Coturnix japonica: one gene and its partners. Each later gene encodes a partner of the first gene's protein in a complex. Links are inferred from orthologs where the notes say so. Each region holds a gene or a part of one and is shown in the gene's direction. Other genes may lie near its edges.

Evidence for each region.
Region 2: the proteins of MIOS (region 1) and SEH1L are in contact, whole or in part, in a cryo-EM structure (PDB 7UHY), measured with the Homo sapiens proteins. The link is inferred for Coturnix japonica from reciprocal best matches to the Homo sapiens genes MIOS and SEH1L. Residues at the interface, in NP_001357005.1 of Homo sapiens: Arg279, Arg316, Ser317, Phe353, Glu354, Arg355, Ile356, Ser357, Leu358, Ala359, Trp360, Pro362, Leu366, Met367, Trp368, Ala369, Cys370, Gly371, Arg372, Leu374, Tyr375, Glu376, Cys377, Thr378, Glu379, Glu380, Glu387, Asp389, Ile390, Ala391; in NP_112493.2 of Homo sapiens: Met1, Phe2, Val3, Ala4, Arg5, Ser6, Ile7, Ala9, His11, Lys12, Asp13, Leu14, Ile15, His16, Asp17, Val18, Phe20, Phe22, His23, Gly24, Arg25, Met27, Trp47, Ser173, Ser174, Ser175, Asn230, Leu231, Gly232, Arg233.
Region 3: the proteins of MIOS (region 1) and CASTOR1 are in contact, whole or in part, in a cryo-EM structure (PDB 9LVK), measured with the Homo sapiens proteins. The link is inferred for Coturnix japonica from reciprocal best matches to the Homo sapiens genes MIOS and CASTOR1. Residues at the interface, in NP_001357005.1 of Homo sapiens: Ala83, Asn84, Val109, Pro110, Lys111, His112, Ala113, Arg114, Asp134, Lys135, His136, Arg137, Asn184; in NP_001032755.1 of Homo sapiens: Val94, Ser116, Thr117, Tyr118, Gln119, Thr120, Asp121, Thr188, Tyr236, Leu255, Thr256, Ser257, Ser258, Ala295, Tyr296.

Annotation. Positions count from the first base shown.
Region 1 is NC_029517.1:22,614,569-22,620,453, forward strand, and holds the start of MIOS (GATOR complex protein MIOS), read left to right. Parts: upstream 1-2,387; 5' UTR 2,388-2,638; intron 2,639-2,692; exon of another isoform or gene 2,693-2,775; intron 2,776-3,940; 5' UTR 3,941-4,010; coding exon 4,011-5,307; intron 5,308-5,511; coding exon 5,512-5,610; intron 5,611-5,885. UniProt on the Homo sapiens protein: As a component of the GATOR2 complex, functions as an activator of the amino acid-sensing branch of the mTORC1 signaling pathway. The GATOR2 complex indirectly activates mTORC1 through the inhibition of the GATOR1 subcomplex.
Region 2 is NC_029517.1:87,392,830-87,397,187, reverse strand, and holds part of SEH1L (nucleoporin SEH1), read left to right. Parts: intron 1-1,444; coding exon 1,445-1,495; intron 1,496-1,881; coding exon 1,882-2,028; intron 2,029-3,001; coding exon 3,002-3,213; intron 3,214-4,135; coding exon 4,136-4,234; intron 4,235-4,358. UniProt on the Homo sapiens protein: Component of the Nup107-160 subcomplex of the nuclear pore complex (NPC). The Nup107-160 subcomplex is required for the assembly of a functional NPC.
Region 3 is NC_029530.1:9,678,333-9,683,937, forward strand, and holds the start of CASTOR1 (cytosolic arginine sensor for mTORC1 subunit 1), read left to right. Parts: upstream 1-2,019; 5' UTR 2,020-2,100; coding exon 2,101-2,213; intron 2,214-2,294; coding exon 2,295-2,365; intron 2,366-4,030; coding exon 4,031-4,224; intron 4,225-4,322; coding exon 4,323-4,455; intron 4,456-4,651; coding exon 4,652-4,775; intron 4,776-5,153; coding exon 5,154-5,261; intron 5,262-5,332; coding exon 5,333-5,415; intron 5,416-5,533; coding exon 5,534-5,605. Other genes in the region: TBC1D10A (TBC1 domain family member 10A), read left to right, coding at 1-392. UniProt on the Homo sapiens protein: Functions as an intracellular arginine sensor within the amino acid-sensing branch of the TORC1 signaling pathway. As a homodimer or a heterodimer with CASTOR2, binds and inhibits the GATOR subcomplex GATOR2 and thereby mTORC1.

The DNA of each region.
Region 1 (5,885 bases):
GTCAGCCACACCTCTTTTAGCTTCTCCAAGCAGCAGTGGCTACACCAGAGATGTGACATTAGCATAGCATCCCTTACAGCCTGAGTTCAGGCTTGAAGAGGGACACCTGGTAGCACTGCAATAAAGAGAAATATTGAGAGGACTGAAGTTACCATTGAGTGTCTGGGATTAAAGAGGAAGTACAATCCAAAGAAAACCAGCTTCAGTTTAATTGTTTCACAGACAACTTGCAAGGCACATATAAATCCAGATACAACATTCTATTCTTCTTGAAAGAAATAATAATAGTTATGATCAGGGACGGAAAGAAGTAATAAAATCCAGAGCATTTGAACATTCAGATTACCTTCAAATTCTGCGATATGAATGTATTTAAATGTCTAGTAGGCCCAAATGGGAGGCATTACCTTCAGAGCTTCCCTTGTACATTTTAAATTGAGAAATGAATTTACAGATGGCAAGTTCTAAATCCCTTTGGGCATAACTTTCACACAAAACAGCTTTAACCTCTTAGACAGCGTAGGCACTTTATCCCTAGTGTGCCATAGCAGCTCGCTGTATCCACTGTAGCTAGTGACCTTTCACACTCCACCTCTCAGAACTCCATTACCAGGGTAGATAACCCTACCAGACTGAAACAGGGGATAATAAGACATTGGTCAATAAATTTTACACTATCATTCATGATCAGAGAGAATGTGGATACCGTCTGATATTTGAGTTACAGTGACTCAAATGGCACAGAAGAAATAAAAAGAAACAGAAAGGCTACAAAGATGTGAGAGCTTCTGGATGAAGGGAGCCAAGAAGGATACAATTCTTTCACTTGGATGGCCACAACTGATGGTGAACATGATACAGATCTATAAAACCAAGAAAGAAGGTGACTATCATATAGTACAAGAATATAATGTATCAGAAGATGTTTTGGTTCTGCTTGATCAGTGATATTAACCAGATTTGAATGCCTTAAATTTACAGTATTTTCTTCACACGATAAGAATGACAACATTCACGGGAATACATTGCAGTTTTTTTTATCCTGTTAGGAAACACAGCTATTTGAAGTACACACTTCAAACGGTTTTTATCAAACAGCTTTTCTACTGCCCGAGGTATATTAATTCAGTGACATTCTTATTCATGCTTTATGCAACATAGAGTCTTCAAAAATAAGACTGCTGTATACCAAGCAAATGATCATTTAGCTGCTGAGTCAAATTAAATTAAATGTGTGTAAAATATAACATAAAGAGATATTATTTATGCTGTCTAAATTCTGCCCTCTGGTGTATCTACGCGATTATGCACTGTGATAAGTATGGGCCTTATTCAGCCTTTAATCAGAACACAATTAGTAAACAAAACTACTGTGAAACAGAGGGGCCATATGTATAACATAACATAAGCCTACAATGTAAGAGTATAACACACATCCCTTTGTAACAGAAAGTGAAAGCTAAAGACTAAGATAGTAAAAGACTGAGATGGTAGGTTTCATGAGAGAGATTATCTCCTGGAATAACTCTTTCCATTCCTTTGTTACTGTCTGATCCTCATAAAGTAAATACTCATTTCTTGGTCAAACTATAAAGCCTTGATTAATGTAACCCTGTCATAAACAGCTCAGACTGGAATGGGGAAAGTGACTTGGAAAATGGGAAGTTAGAGAAATCAATACTGATTCTTTTTCAGAGAAAGGAGTATTACTGTTTACATATAAATTCAAAGTCTGACAAGCCCAATCTTTGTCAGACCCCTATTTTGGTCAAAATTCTCTTACCTTGGTCTGCACTCGAAGTTACAGGTCTATGTATCGATTTCTGTGCCTATACCTTCTCCCCTTTTTCAAACTTTCATGGTGTGGCTCTAAAGTTTTGGTCTCTAGTCAGCTGTTCTGGGGAGGTACCCACCACTCCTGATGGGACCACTAAGCTCAGTGTGGTGCACCTCTCCTGTCCATGGTAGTCAGAGACCCCTGAAAGGTGATGGCTCCCAGACGAGCCCCCAGATTGTGAGAAATAACTCAAATGATATTTTTGGAGACCATTTTCACTTTCACAGCTCCAAGGGCACACTGCTGGCTCACTCCACAAGTGACCCCATTATTTTTTGGTAGGGCTCTGCTCTATCCTTACACCCCCCGTATGGTACTGATAGTGCAGGTTGCCATAATACACCTATAAGACCTGCACTGGGATCTGATGAACCTCACGATGTTCAGCTGGTCCCACTGCTCATCCTGCCCAGCTCTCTGAATGGCACCCCATCCCTCGGCTGGGTCAGCCATGAAAAGTTCTAAGTTGACAGTGAGGATGAGCGCTAGCCCTCATCCAACGACCAGCAGATGGAGCCTAGTGCCTCCCCACATTTTAGGCCGCACGCTCGGAGTGGTCGGATGGGATTTAGTGCACAAATTGCCGTTAATTTGATACTCAGAACTAACACCAGCTGCGCACACTCCTAACCCGGAACTCAGAGCGCGTTCCCGACCAGCGGAAGGAGCTTTCTGGAAGTGCGGCTGTTCTCCCTTCCCTTCCGCCCCGCAGCCGGAAGCGCGGCCCGGCTGTGGCTGTTCCCCGCGGCCGGTGGCTCCGGTTCTCTGCAGGCCCCGGCGGCTCCTCGTACCCACAGAGCGGTGAGGCGGGCCGGGCTCCGGACCGGGTGGAGGCTGGGCTGGGCTGAGGCGGGAGGAGGGGAGCGCTGAGAGCACACAGCGGGGATGAGGGGATGCCCCGAGGCAGCAACTGCTTCCCTCTGTTCTTTCCCAGTCCGGTAAATCTTTTCCTTTCCCCAGCCTTATGAAAAGCTTGTTGGAATCACAGGTTTCCTTTGTATGTAGTAATGTGTGAGGATTCTGGCCGTATGGCTCCTGCGGCTATCAGAGTACAGCGTGTTTATGTGTGCTACTAGGCCACATGCAAAGATTTAGTGTCACTGGGGCAGAAGGTGGAGCTGGGAGCTGCAGAATGAGATGAACCATGTAAAGCTTTATAGAAATCTTAAAGTAGGGTAAGACCTTGTAGGTTATAGATGAGTGCCACGAAGATGATCAGGGGGCTGGAGCACCTCCCCTGTGAGGACAGGCTGAGGGAGTTGGGCTTGTTCAGCCTAGAGAAGAGAAGGTTGCGGGGTGACCTCATTACAGCCTTTCAATACCTGAAGGGAACTTACACCCAGGAGGGGAGTAAACTCTTCGAAAGGGCTGACAATAGCAGGACTAGGGGAAATGGTTTTAAGTTAAAAGAGGGAAGATTTAGGTTGGATGTTAGGGGGAAGTTCTTCACTAGGAGAGTGGTTGGGCCCTGGAACAGGCTGCCCAGGGAGGTTGTGGATGCCCCGTCCTTGGAGGTGTTCAAGACCAGGTTGGACGGGGCCCTGTGCAACCTGATCTAGTAAAGGTGTATGTTTGGTGGCCCTGCCAGGCAGGGGGGTTGGAACTACATGATCCTTGAGGTCCCTTCCAACCCGGGTCACTCTGTGATTCTGTGATAGATGAGATGTTAAACAAGGCAGACAGGCTCTAGTATCTGTGAATTAGCGCAATTCAATTAGGCAGAGATGTTTTCTACTACCTGTTTTAGGGAGTGGCCCTTTTCTGGCAGCACACCCACGCATCATGCTGCATCACATTTGGGTTAATGCTCTCTTCCATAATAAGCAAGCAATACTGGTATGGAGGTTGTAAACATACTGCTGTTGGTTTGTAGATGGAACACACTGCTGTGTTTTTTCTGCATCAGTCAGTGTATCTGAGCAAAAACAGGGCATGTCATGTAAAAAGTGGCTTAATGTGAGAAATGCTTAAAGTTTTGGCCTTGAATGTGTGCACAATATAAACTTGGGCTAAAAACAATGTAGAACAATATTCTTGTTGTTTTTAATGATGAAAAAGAAATTTGTTTCTCTATAACATTCCTACGAATCATTTTCTCAACAGTTTTCGTATGAATGGATGTCACCAGAATCTTCTTACAAGAGTTTAAGTTGTTGATGAACTCACCCTAAAAATGAGCGGCTCCAAACCTGATATTCTTTGGGCCCCGCACCATGTCGACCGTTTTGTTGTGTGTGACTCAGAGTTGAGCCTTTATCACATTGAATCTGCTGTAAGTTCAGAACTCAAGGCAGGGTCCTTGCGTTTATCAGAAGAAACTACAGCCACGCTGTTGTCAATAAATTCAGATACACCGTATATGAAATGTGTGGCTTGGTATCCCAAGTATGATCCTGAATGTCTTCTTGCTGTTGGACAGGCCAATGGTCGGGTGGTGCTTACCAGCCTTGGTCAAGATCACAACTCAAAATATAAAGATTTGATAGGAAAAGAGTTTGTTCCCAAGCATGCACGGCAGTGCAACACCCTGGCATGGAACCCACTAGATAGTAATTGGCTTGCTGCTGGATTAGACAAACATCGGGCTGACTTTTCAGTATTGATCTGGGATATCAGTAGTAAATATGCTCCAGAGACTGCAGTTGCTACAGAGAAAGTGAGACTTTCGACAGGAGATCCGGAAGCAGGACTGGTGGTAACAAAGCCACTGTATGAATTAGGGCAGAACGATGCTTGTCTCTCCCTTTGTTGGCTTCCACGGGATCAGAAGCTTCTTTTAGCTGGAATGCATCGCAATCTGGCTATCTTTGATCTGAGGAATACGAGCCAAAAAATATTTGTAAATACTAAGGCTGTCCAAGGAGTGACTGTTGATCCATACTTCCATGATCGTGTAGCTTCCTTCTATGAAGGCCAAGTTGCCATATGGGATTTAAGAAAGTTTGAGAAGCCTGTTTTGACCTTGACAGAGCAACCAAAACCATTAACAAAAGTCGCGTGGTGTCCAACAAGAACTGGGCTGTTAGCTACTTTAACAAGGGACAGTAATATCATTAGGCTGTATGACATGCAGCATACTCCCACGCCTATTGGAGATGAAACTGAGCCTACAATAATTGAAAGGAGCGTCCAGCCGTGTGAAAACTACATTGCCTCATTTGCCTGGCATCCCACAAGTCAAAATCGAATGGTGGTTGTGACTCCCAATAGAACTATGTCCGACTTCACGGTTTTCGAGAGAATTTCACTTGCATGGAGTCCAGTGACATCCTTAATGTGGGCTTGTGGACGCCATTTATATGAGTGTACAGAAGAAGGAAAGGCCAGCTCCTTGGAAAAGGATATAGCCACCAAAATGCGGCTCCGAGCTTTATCAAGGTATGGTCTTGATACTGAACAAGTTTGGAGAAATCACCTCCTAGCTGGAAATGAAGATCCTCAGCTGAAATCACTTTGGTACACCCTGCACTATATCCTTTATTTTACCGTGGTTTATATTTTAAAGAAGTAATGCACCCTTTACGTGTAAACCAGTTGTGTGAAATGCCTCAAGGTCTAAATGCAGTGTAATGTGCTGTAAAAGGCCTGCGTTAACAGAATGTGAGTTTTAACTTTAAAGAAGTGTTTTTTCAAATTCTTTGGAAAGAAAATAAGCTTCCTATACGTGTTAATACTTATGAAGCAGTATACTGAAGATATGGATCAAAAACTTACAGGAAACAAGGGTCCCCTAGTTTATGCTGGCATTAAGTCAATTGTGAAGTCATCTTTGGGTAAGAATGTTGCAACTTTGATAAGTTATATTACAATATATTTACAAAATGAAGCACTCGTGTTTGTCTTTAAAAATTGTTGAAGGAGGCTGTAGAAATACATAAAGTCTCTCAGTCTGTGTTTTAATGTATGTTGTAAGTACAGAAATGAAAGTGAACAGTTTATATTACAGTAACTTCCTGATTTTTTTGTTTTCTTTGAAGCTCATCAGAAGAACAAAATAACCTCAGAGGCAGAACTTCAACTGACCTATTTCAAACATTTACTTGTTGAC
Region 2 (4,358 bases), about 65 Mb from region 1:
GTTGGAACTACATGATCCTTGAGGTCCCTTCCAACCCGGGTCATTCTGTGATTCAGGGCTGTTCTCACACATCTCTCAGCCCTCTTTCCCAGCTGCTGCTCTGTGGCATTATTTCTCTTCCTTAAATCTGTTCTCTAAGTGCACAACCAGCATCACTCAACTCTGGTAGCGTTGGGTCCTGTTGGAGCAGCTGGAGCTCTGAGCTGACGTGGCGTACGACTGGGCTGTGCTCACACAAGCCGCCCTGCAGCACCCCAGTACCAGAACCCTGCTATGTGAACCCAGTATGCATGCAAAAGGCTTCTTCTTTCTGATCATGTGTTAAGAAACAAACAAAACCATCAGTTTTTCTCAGAGAGTGGTCAGGCACTGGAATAGCCTGTCCAGGGCGGTGGTGGAGTCGCCATCCCTGGCAGTGTTCAAGAGGTGTCTGGATAGGGAGCTAGGAGATATGGGTTAGGGGTTTTTCTATAGGTATGGTAAAGGGAGGATGGTTGGACTAGATGATCTTGTAGGTCCTTTCCAACCTTGTGATTCTGTGATTCTGTGAACAGCAACAGGAAAAAAGAAAAAGCAACCCAGCCCCAAGGAGTGAGCCAACAGCCTTTGATCGGGCTGAGTGTGTAGAACTTGAAGCCTAAAAAGTAAGACACCAAGATGTAGGTAGATCTTCTAGAAACCACACCTTTAACCACGTAGTGTAGCTTTCCAGTTATAACAGAGTCTTTAATGAGACTGTTGAGAAGTTTTACGGCCATGTTATTTTTGATGTAGGTCCCACCCTCCACAAATGGGCCCTGCAGAACAGCAGCTGCACAGAAGTTGCAGCATTTCATGGCTGATACGATTGGTGGCTTTTCTTACATCAGGGTGATAAACAGAGAATAGGAGGTTGCGTTACCTGTTTGTGGTTCATAGATCAATTTAGAAATATTAGAAGCAATGATAAGATCTTTTACCCCATTTTGTACCACTAGATTTGTTTTGTTTGCTGCCTTGCTTTGACTTGCAGTCACAATCCACAATCTCTGTAGATCCTCTCCCATAGAGCTGTTCTGTTCTGTCTGAGGTGACAGCCAGGAGCCACGTCAACATTTGGGGACCACATCTGAGCTTGTTGGGATGGCTGCAATAACACAAAGTGATTTGCTACTGGGATGTAATGTCAAAATGAAGTATTGAACACTACCATAATGTCTCCTTGTGAGCAGTACGTTGTTTAAAAATGACAGACTTCACATGATGGTGGATTTTGCAGGCGTGTGCCTGTTCTTCATATCGGTAGGAAGGAAGTTGAGTGTAGTGTAGTTGTGTAGTGTGCCAAGATTATTCCAGATGAAAACATCCAATAGTAATTTCCCTTTTCTGAGTGGCTGTGTTTTCTGTTATTATCTAGTGCACTTATCTACAAATTATATGATTGTCTTCTGTTTTTTTTCAATAGGTCTGGGACAAGAGTGAAAATGGGGATTGGCATTGCACTGCAAGCTGGAAGGTTTGTATTAATAGTCATTACGCAGTAATGCTGTGATCTCTCTCTTTCTTTTTGTAGAGCTTTTATACTCCATTTCTCCTGTCAAGACAGAATCTTAGTTGGCAACTATTTTTTTTTGAGCGTAGGATTTGAAAGCAATAATGAGCAGTACCTAGATGTGCTCTTCATTACCTTGTAACAGTTAAATAATAGCAAAACTTTACAGAAATTAACGAATTCAGCCATTGCTTTGAACTTTGTATAAGAATTTAGGCACCACAGGAATGGTCACACTGCTTCAGACTGCTTACTTCTGTTTTACAGCCACAAAAGTGTGTGGTAAGCCCTTCATGTTCCCCTGCAGTAACGTGTTTCTCTGTACTGTCCCATTCTGTGTTATCTTGCAGACACACAGCGGCTCTGTGTGGCGCGTGACATGGGCCCATCCTGAATTTGGGCAGGTCTTGGCCTCCTGCTCATTTGATAGAACGGCAGCTGTGTGGGAAGAAATAGTGGGAGAATCCAATGATAAACTGCGAGGCCAAAGTCACTGGGTAAGATTTTAACGTGTTAATTACAGTTCTTACATGTGCCCATAAAAACAGGTTTGCTGTTCCTTGTTGATTTGTTTGCTTATTGTATTGGACTGAAGCTTTAAACTGTCTGAACTCCAGCATTACACAGAAGGCTGAACATGAAGTTGTTGTAAATACCGTTTGCTGGACGTCTGGGAGTCTGCAACATATATGCTATTCCTGAAACAGATTGCAGGAGGTTTTCTTCTCTAATAGAAAGTGTCCTTGACTTTAGTGTGTTTTGTTCATCTGTGGCAGTGTTCCAAAATAGAAGGAGTACTATCAGGACTTCTGGACAGACAGCAAAATGGCAACATTCAGACCAGTTAGTGTCACTAATATTGGTATTTTTAGGTGTTCTGCAAACCTGCAGACGTGAATCCCATACGTGATGGAATTGAAGTTGTAGGTTATTTTATTCTTCATTTATCTGAAACCATCTTGTGCCATTCTTTTTCCTCTTTGAAACTGTAGCTCAGGTTTGGAGAATAAAATGTTTTGCTCAGAAGTGGATTTTCTGGGTAGCATTTCACAGGGGGAATTTCTATAATAGATTTTATTTTTTTTTTTTTTTGCAGATACTCAGTCTTACAAATGTACTGTTCCTCCAGTACTGTATTCTACCTTCAGTTATCTGCAATTTTCTACTTTGTACTAAAGCTTCCCAACATTGAAGTTTGGAAGTTTAATCTAAACAACTTCTGTTGCTCTCAGCACTTTGATATCACAGTGTGTTTGTCCTTGCTTGAAATGGCAACAGTGCTGTACTCTGTTCTTTTTCCCATTAAGTCGGTGTATAAAGTTATTCTCGTTCTGGATGGAAGAGGTAAATGATGCTATGAAGTGGTATTATCAGACTTTCACTAGCTTCTGGGCAACGGGACTAAAGTCAACAAATTAGGAAAGGCATTTCAGATGGAGACTTCCAAGGGTTTCTGCCTTTCTTTTGCAGGTAAAGAGGACCACTCTGGTAGACAGTAGGACATCTGTTACAGATGTGAAGTTTGCTCCCAAGCACATGGGTCTTATGTTAGCGACTTGCTCAGCAGATGGAGTTGTAAGGATTTATGAAGCCCCAGATGTGATGAACCTCAGTCAGTGGTCACTGCAGCATGAAATCTCATGTAAGCTAAGCTGCAGTTGCATTTCGTGGAATCCTTCAAGGTATGTTAAAGCTGAAGGTGTTGCTTTATGACTGTGTAAGCAGAAGATCCAAAATGTTCATTATGGAAGTGTTAGTTCAGGGAAGTGTTATAGAACGTCATTCTGTCCTGTGAGGTTCTATTCACATCTTAATTACAAATAGTGATGAACAAGCTAAAGAACTGCAACGTGCTTTCTTTATCCCACAAAACTTAGCTGAGTGTTTCCTAAGGAAAAGTGTTTATGAAGAGAGCGTTCCCATGTCTTTGCTTCAGGAAGTTGTCACCATAGGTAACAAGGATGTGCACCCTTAGCAGTGCTAGGAACCACAGGTTTTACTAACACAAAGCCTAAGGGTTGTATTATTCCTTTAGTTGTATCTTCAGGGGCTCAGTCATGATTTAACCTACTTGGTCAGAAAGAGACCAGAGGAATGTGATGGTTGGGTTGTCCCCACCCTGAAGAATACATAAGTCATCTGTCCTAAAGGTTAAGAGTATAGGCTTTATCTCTACATCACCCTCAGAAGCTGTGCTAAAAGTTGATTTAAAAACTAGTGCTCGTATACCTTTTGTAACTGGTTTTCCAGAATCTGAATGAAACCCCCCTAAATCAGTCACTGCGAGTACTGCATTGGATGCGGATTCTGCCATATTCCTTAGAGCAAACTTCACTGCAAACACATCTATGAATTTAATCTCGATGTCTGGGGGCATCTGTTGTCCTGAACTAAATTCCAAATAGTGTCCCTTAATGGTTTATCTTTATTTGTTGTATAAGGTAGACATTCAAGAGAACAGAGTTGAGGTAGTACTGGTAACTATGAATGATACTTTGTATTTCTTTCTAGGCAATCTTTTTGTTTTATATACAGGTGTGTCTTAAATTTTGGAAGTTACTTGTGAAATAATTAGTAACAGAATTTGTATCTTTTTACTTCCAGCTCCAGAGCACATTCTCCAATGATAGCTGTCGGAAGTGACGACAACAGTCCAAATATATTGGCTAAAGTTCAGATTTATGAATACAATGAAAATACCAGGTATGCTAAATAACAGTGTATTTATGGGATCTTAGAATAGCTTGTAATGTCCAGCCTTCTGTTTCGTTCCTGTTGTTCCTTATGGAGTGAAGGGGGAAATAATAATACTCCTCAATTTTGTCTG
Region 3 (5,605 bases), on another chromosome or scaffold:
TGATTGAGCTGCCGGTGACGGAGCGGCAGATCGAGAGGGAGCACCTGATCCAGCTGAAGAAGTGGCGTGAGACACATGGGGAGCTGCAGTGCAAGTCCCCCCCGCGCCTGCACGGTGCCAAGGCCATCAGCGAGGCCGAGCCCCCCACCCGCAAGGCACTGGAGCCCGTGCCCTCCATCATCGTCCCATCTGGGCCTGCCCCGGTGCCCAAGGCCCGTAAGAGCAAGGAGAAAAACCGTGAGAAGGCCTCAGTCAGTCCCACCAGCAGCCCTGGGGCTGAGGGCAATGGGGCGCCCGGTGCTGCCCGTGAGCTGCTGCACCCCCAGAGCTCCCCCCACCACCAGTCCAAGGAGAGCTTGTGCTCGCGGGAGAGCGAGGACACGTACTTGTAGGGCCGGCGCGGCCCCACGGCCGGGCTCAGCTGGGCTGTGTTCGGACCCGGGCTCCAGGACGCTGCTCCCTCTGCGGCCGAGGGCAGGAGGGGGGACCCCAGGGTGGGAGGGGACCCTCGTGGCGCCTGGCAACGGGGGCTCGGGGCTGGAGGGAGCAGGACGTGGCTGATGTGGGCTCGTGTGGCACCGTGGGGGCGCCGGCTGGGTGCCCAATTAGGGTCCCGTGGGGTGACCAGTGGGAGCTCAACCCAGCGCGGTGACATGGCGGTGCATCCAGCCGTGCTGTCCCCAGCCCTGCAGGGTGCTGGCACCTCAGTGGTTGGAGCCCTGGCACAGGGTGGCTGAGCCACCTGAGCTCCTCCGCCGCCCCTCAGGGGCCAGGCACGAGCCCCCCCCTCCTCATCCCATCACCCCACGTCCCCTGCAACCCTCCCCCCATCCCCTGCCCACCCCATGCTGTTGGGGCAAACCCAGACCCAGCTCCCCATTGTTTGGGGCTGGGGGTACGTGAGGAGTTGGGAGCAGCCTCTGCTCCCCACCCCCCCCTCTTTATCTAGTGAGGATGTATCAAGCTGTAGCCCAATATGTAGTATGAATTTACCTATTCACTGAGCCTATTTATTATTCCTCCATGGCAGTAACTCTTGCAGGCCGGGGGCCGAGGTTGGGAACTGCAGGCGGGACGCACCGGAGGCAGCAGGATTGGATGGCAGACCCCGTGCCCTGCAGGGCCGAGGTGAGCCGGGGCTGGGGGTGCTGCCTGCTGCGGGGTCCCCTCTCTTCCCCCCTACCCTGCGTCGTGGGCAGGGGGAGGCTTTGTAAAATACAGCGGGGCAACGTGGTTTTGTACAAAGGGGAAATAAAGCAGGATTGTGTAAAGGCGCAGCGTGTGCGGCTCCGTGGGTTCAACGTCTCTTTGGGTGCCGTGGCGGGGGACAGGGGTGCTCCATCCCCTCCATCCCCTCCATGCTGTTGCTCACACTTGCTGTGTGCACGCAGTGTGGTTTGGGGCCTCCCTTCCCTGCCTGGTGGTGGCTGCGGGGTCAGAGGTGGCATCACTCAGTGGCAGCATCCCTATAACTGCGGGGGAACTTCTCTCGTGCATCCCACCTGATGATGTGCGACCGTCCTTTATCCCACCCCGGTGTCCTGCAGCGTCCTGTAAAGGGGTTCATTGGGGACACAGCAGGGAGGTGACCGCCTCGCTGCCCCTCCCAGCCCCGGGGCCCAACGCTGTTTGAAGCGCAGATGAGAGACGCCGAGCTGTGCTGACGCACCTGGAGGTCACCTCCAGCCCCGGGGCAGCTCGGCCGGCTGCCCATCTCGCAGCAGAACCGGGAGCAGCTCCGCTCCCCCCCCCCGCAGCCTCCGTTCTCTGCTTTCCACGTACAAAATGGTGCTCCCTGCAGGCAGGAATGGTGCAAGAACTTCCATCCCCCCTTCCCCAAATCCCTCTGCCCACGAAGCGGCTGCGGGGCAGAACCCTGGTTCCCGCACACCTCCCCTCCCGTGAACTCAGCGGATCCCGACCCCCCCCCCTACCCCGACTTGGATGGATACGGGCCGAGAGCGCCCCAACGCGTTACGGGACGGGGCGGGGCGGGCGGGTGCCCCTCCCGCAGCCCGGGGCGGTGCCGGGACGGGGCGGTCCGGTCCCGTTGGGCCCTTATAGCCCCACGGAGCCCCGTCCCGTCGCGGCGCGGCCGCCATGGACCTGCACATCCTGGAGCACCGCGTGCGGGTGCTGTCCCTGGCGCGCCGCGGGCTGTGGCTCTACACCCACCCGCTGCTCAAACTGCTCTTCCTGCCGCAGCGCTGCAGGTACCGATCCCCTTCCTCACCCCCCCCTCCCTCCTCCTCCTCCTCCTCTCGGTCCCACCGCACCGCGTTGTGTCCCGGCAGGTGTAAGTTCTTCAGCCTGACCGAGACCCCCGAGGATTACACCATCATGCTGGACGAGGAGGGCTTCAAAGGTACCGACACTGCGGCCATGAGTTGTGGCCGGCCTCAGCCCGGCGATGCTCGGAGCTGTGCGGTCAGCGGCCGGCAGGGAACTGCCCTGCTCAGGTTCTCCCTGTTTGGCAGCTCCGGTGCTGCCTAAAGCCACGGGGACGCGGCTGAGCCTCCGCAATGGGACGGGGCGGGGAGTGGGAGTGCTGCCCTTCCCCGCATCCCGCTGCCGGGCCGTGCTGAGGGTCTTTGAGTCCCTGTCCCTGGAAGGTGGCACCGGGTGACATCGCTGTGTAGTGACGCTCTGTGTGCAGCCCTGCTGTGGAGTCTGACCCCACGGGCTGTGCTGGGGGTCAATCCTGACCCCATCCTCTGCTCCAGACCCCCCCCCCCCGGCCGGGCTGTATCTCCTGCTCACGCCCTGAGGACCAAAGGTCAGTGGCTCGGCCGCAATGCGACGCTCCCACCCGGCTGCAGCCCAGCTCCCCACCGCTGCCCGGAGGAACCGGGGCCGATCCCCACGCATTGTTTTATTCGGGACCTTTTGGACATAATGCTCCTCGATCCCGAGGGGCGGGCGGGAAGCGGCAAACAATGGCTGTGAGGCGCTGCACGGCGCCGGGCTGGGGGGCTGCCAGCACCCCCAGGCACCCCATGGGGCCGCGCTGCACCCCCGGGTTACAATTCACGGCTCTGGGGCCGGGTGAGGCTCTGGGGCCCGCTGCTCCCCAAGGCACGGGGACATCTGGGGGCACCCATATGATCGCAGCCCCCCTTGCAGCCCACGGGTGTTGAAAAGCCATTAAGTGGGGACGCGGCACCGCGGTCCCCGTCCCCGGGAAGGCTTCCTGTGCAGGAACAAGCAGCTGCCAGCACCCTGCGCTTGGGACCTTCACATCTGGCCTCGCTCCTCCCTCATCGCTGCAGTGAGCGGGGTGGTCTCAGCCTGTTACTGAATGGCTGCTGCTGAGCAGCGGGCAGTGAGGTCTGGGGGTGCCCACCCGGAGATATTGGGTGCCGAAGGAACAACGTGGCCCCGATCCGTTCCTTCCTGGGGAGCGGGCGTGGGGCAGGAAGGAACCGGCCGGCACACTCATTCCCTGCCAACAACAGCAGCTTTTTGGGAGGCAGCCCTGGTCTACTGCCAGCATGGGCTCAGCCTCAGGGATTACGGCTTGTCAGAGCCGGGCACGGTGTGAGGACATCCCACATCCCCTCCGGTGTGACACGGGAGGCAGAGGATGGGGTGGGAGATGTGCACAGCCCCGGGGTCTCAGTGTGCTGCACCCACTCGTGGCCAGCCCTGCAGGTGCAGGACGAGAGGCACATCCCAGATTGGAAGGTTTGCTCCCAGTATCAGCGCTCCCAGCCCTGTGTGTGGGGCTGCCCCTTGCTGCATGGGGACAGCACTGACTCATGTCCCTGTATGCTGGCATTCAGCATCCTGCAGTGCCATCAGAGCAGGGATGTACGCAGCGTTACACCCTGTGGTGCACGATGTCTTTGCTGCCTGCAGGCAGAGGGCAGCCACCCTCAGCATCCCCTCCTGCATCCCTTAGATCAAGCCATTGCCCCCTCCAGCACCCATAATAGACTGGGACCCACTGTCCCCTCTCAGCGGGGTCCCATTGGGGTTGGGGACACAGCACAGCCCCGTGTCATACCTCAGTTTTCCCTGTCCCACACAGAGCTGCCGCCCTCCGAGTTCATGCAGGTGGCAGACTCCACCTGGTTGGTGCTCAGCGTTGTCTCCAATGGCTGCGCTCCCTCTGGCTGCCAGGCCACCGGTGTCACCAAGATCGCCCGCTCCGTCATCGCGCCGCTGGCCGAGCACCACGTCTCGGTGCTGATGCTCTCCACCTACCAGACCGACTTCATCCTGGTGAGCTCAGTGGGGATGGTGCCATGGGGCTGAGTGGGAGATGGTGGGGACCCCATTGATCTTTGGGGACAGCCACGGTGATGCCGCGCCGCTGCCAGGTGCGGGAGCGGGACCTGCCTGTGGTCATTCATACCTTGGCCGGGGAGTTCGACATCTACAAGGAGGAGAACGGTGAATCCATCCCAGTCCCCTGTGATGATGCCAGCAATGGGTTCCTCAAGCCCAAGTCGGGTGAGCGTCACTTGATGTCCCCAAGGCCACCCCGTCCCCAGTGCCCAAGGGACGCTCCGTTGCAGACACCCCCCGTGCTTTGGGGACCCCTGCCTTTTTGGCACCCCAGGGGACGCCGCTGGCCCGGTGGCCACGTGGTGGCACTGCGGTGCTGTCCCCAAAGGCCCCGGTGACAATCGCTGCCTCTGCCCCGCAGCCCCCAGCCCCACGCTGCACCCCGTGCAGAGCCCCCAGAACCGCTTCTGCATCCTGACGGTGGCACCCGACACGCTGCCTGCCATCGCCACCATGCTCATCGATGTGCTCTTCTACTCCCACAGGTGAGTGACGGGGCTGGGGACATCGGTGTCACCCCTTTGGGTCTCACTCATTCATCCCCTTTTTGACCTCGGGGTGCACTTTGCTGACTTTTGGTCACCCTCGGTTGCTGCCGGTCCTGCTGCCACCTCTGTGGACAGGAGCCCTGGTGTCACCATATGGGGGGGACAAGCCATGCATTGCAGCCATGCAAAACAAAAGAGAAAAGGGTTTTTTATTGCAAATGGGGTGGGCACCCCCCCTGCAAACTCAGCTGCCCGAGTTTCCCAACCCTGTTCCCATCCTGAGGCACCCCTGGCTGACACCAGTGGCACCTTTGGAGCCGTCCCAATGACACCCTCCTCCTGATTTGGGGTCCCTGTGCCATCCTCTACCCGCAGCCCCCCCAAGGAACCCAGTGCTGCTGACCTCGACTCCATCACCTTCTTCTCCTTCTCTCTCATCGAGGGCTACATCTCCATCGTGATGGATGCAGAGACCCAGAAGCGGTAGGGCTGCCATCCGCGGGTGCCCCCACCCAGCACTGGGGGTCTGCCATGCTCAGTTTCCCCCTTTGTAGGTTCCCCAGTGACCTGCTGCTCACCAGCTCCAGTGGGGAGCTCTGGCGGATGGTGAGGATCGGTGGGCAGCCCTTGGGCTTCGGTGAGTGCCACCACCACCACCATGGGTCTGCAGGGGGGTGCAGGGATTAGGGGACCCCTCCTCCACCACCACCATGTGTCACTGTGTTGGTGACGCTGCGCTCTCATTGCCTCCCCAGATGAGTGTGGCATCGTGGCGCAGATCGCTGAGCCGCTGGCTGCTGTGGATATCTCAGCCTATTATATCAGCA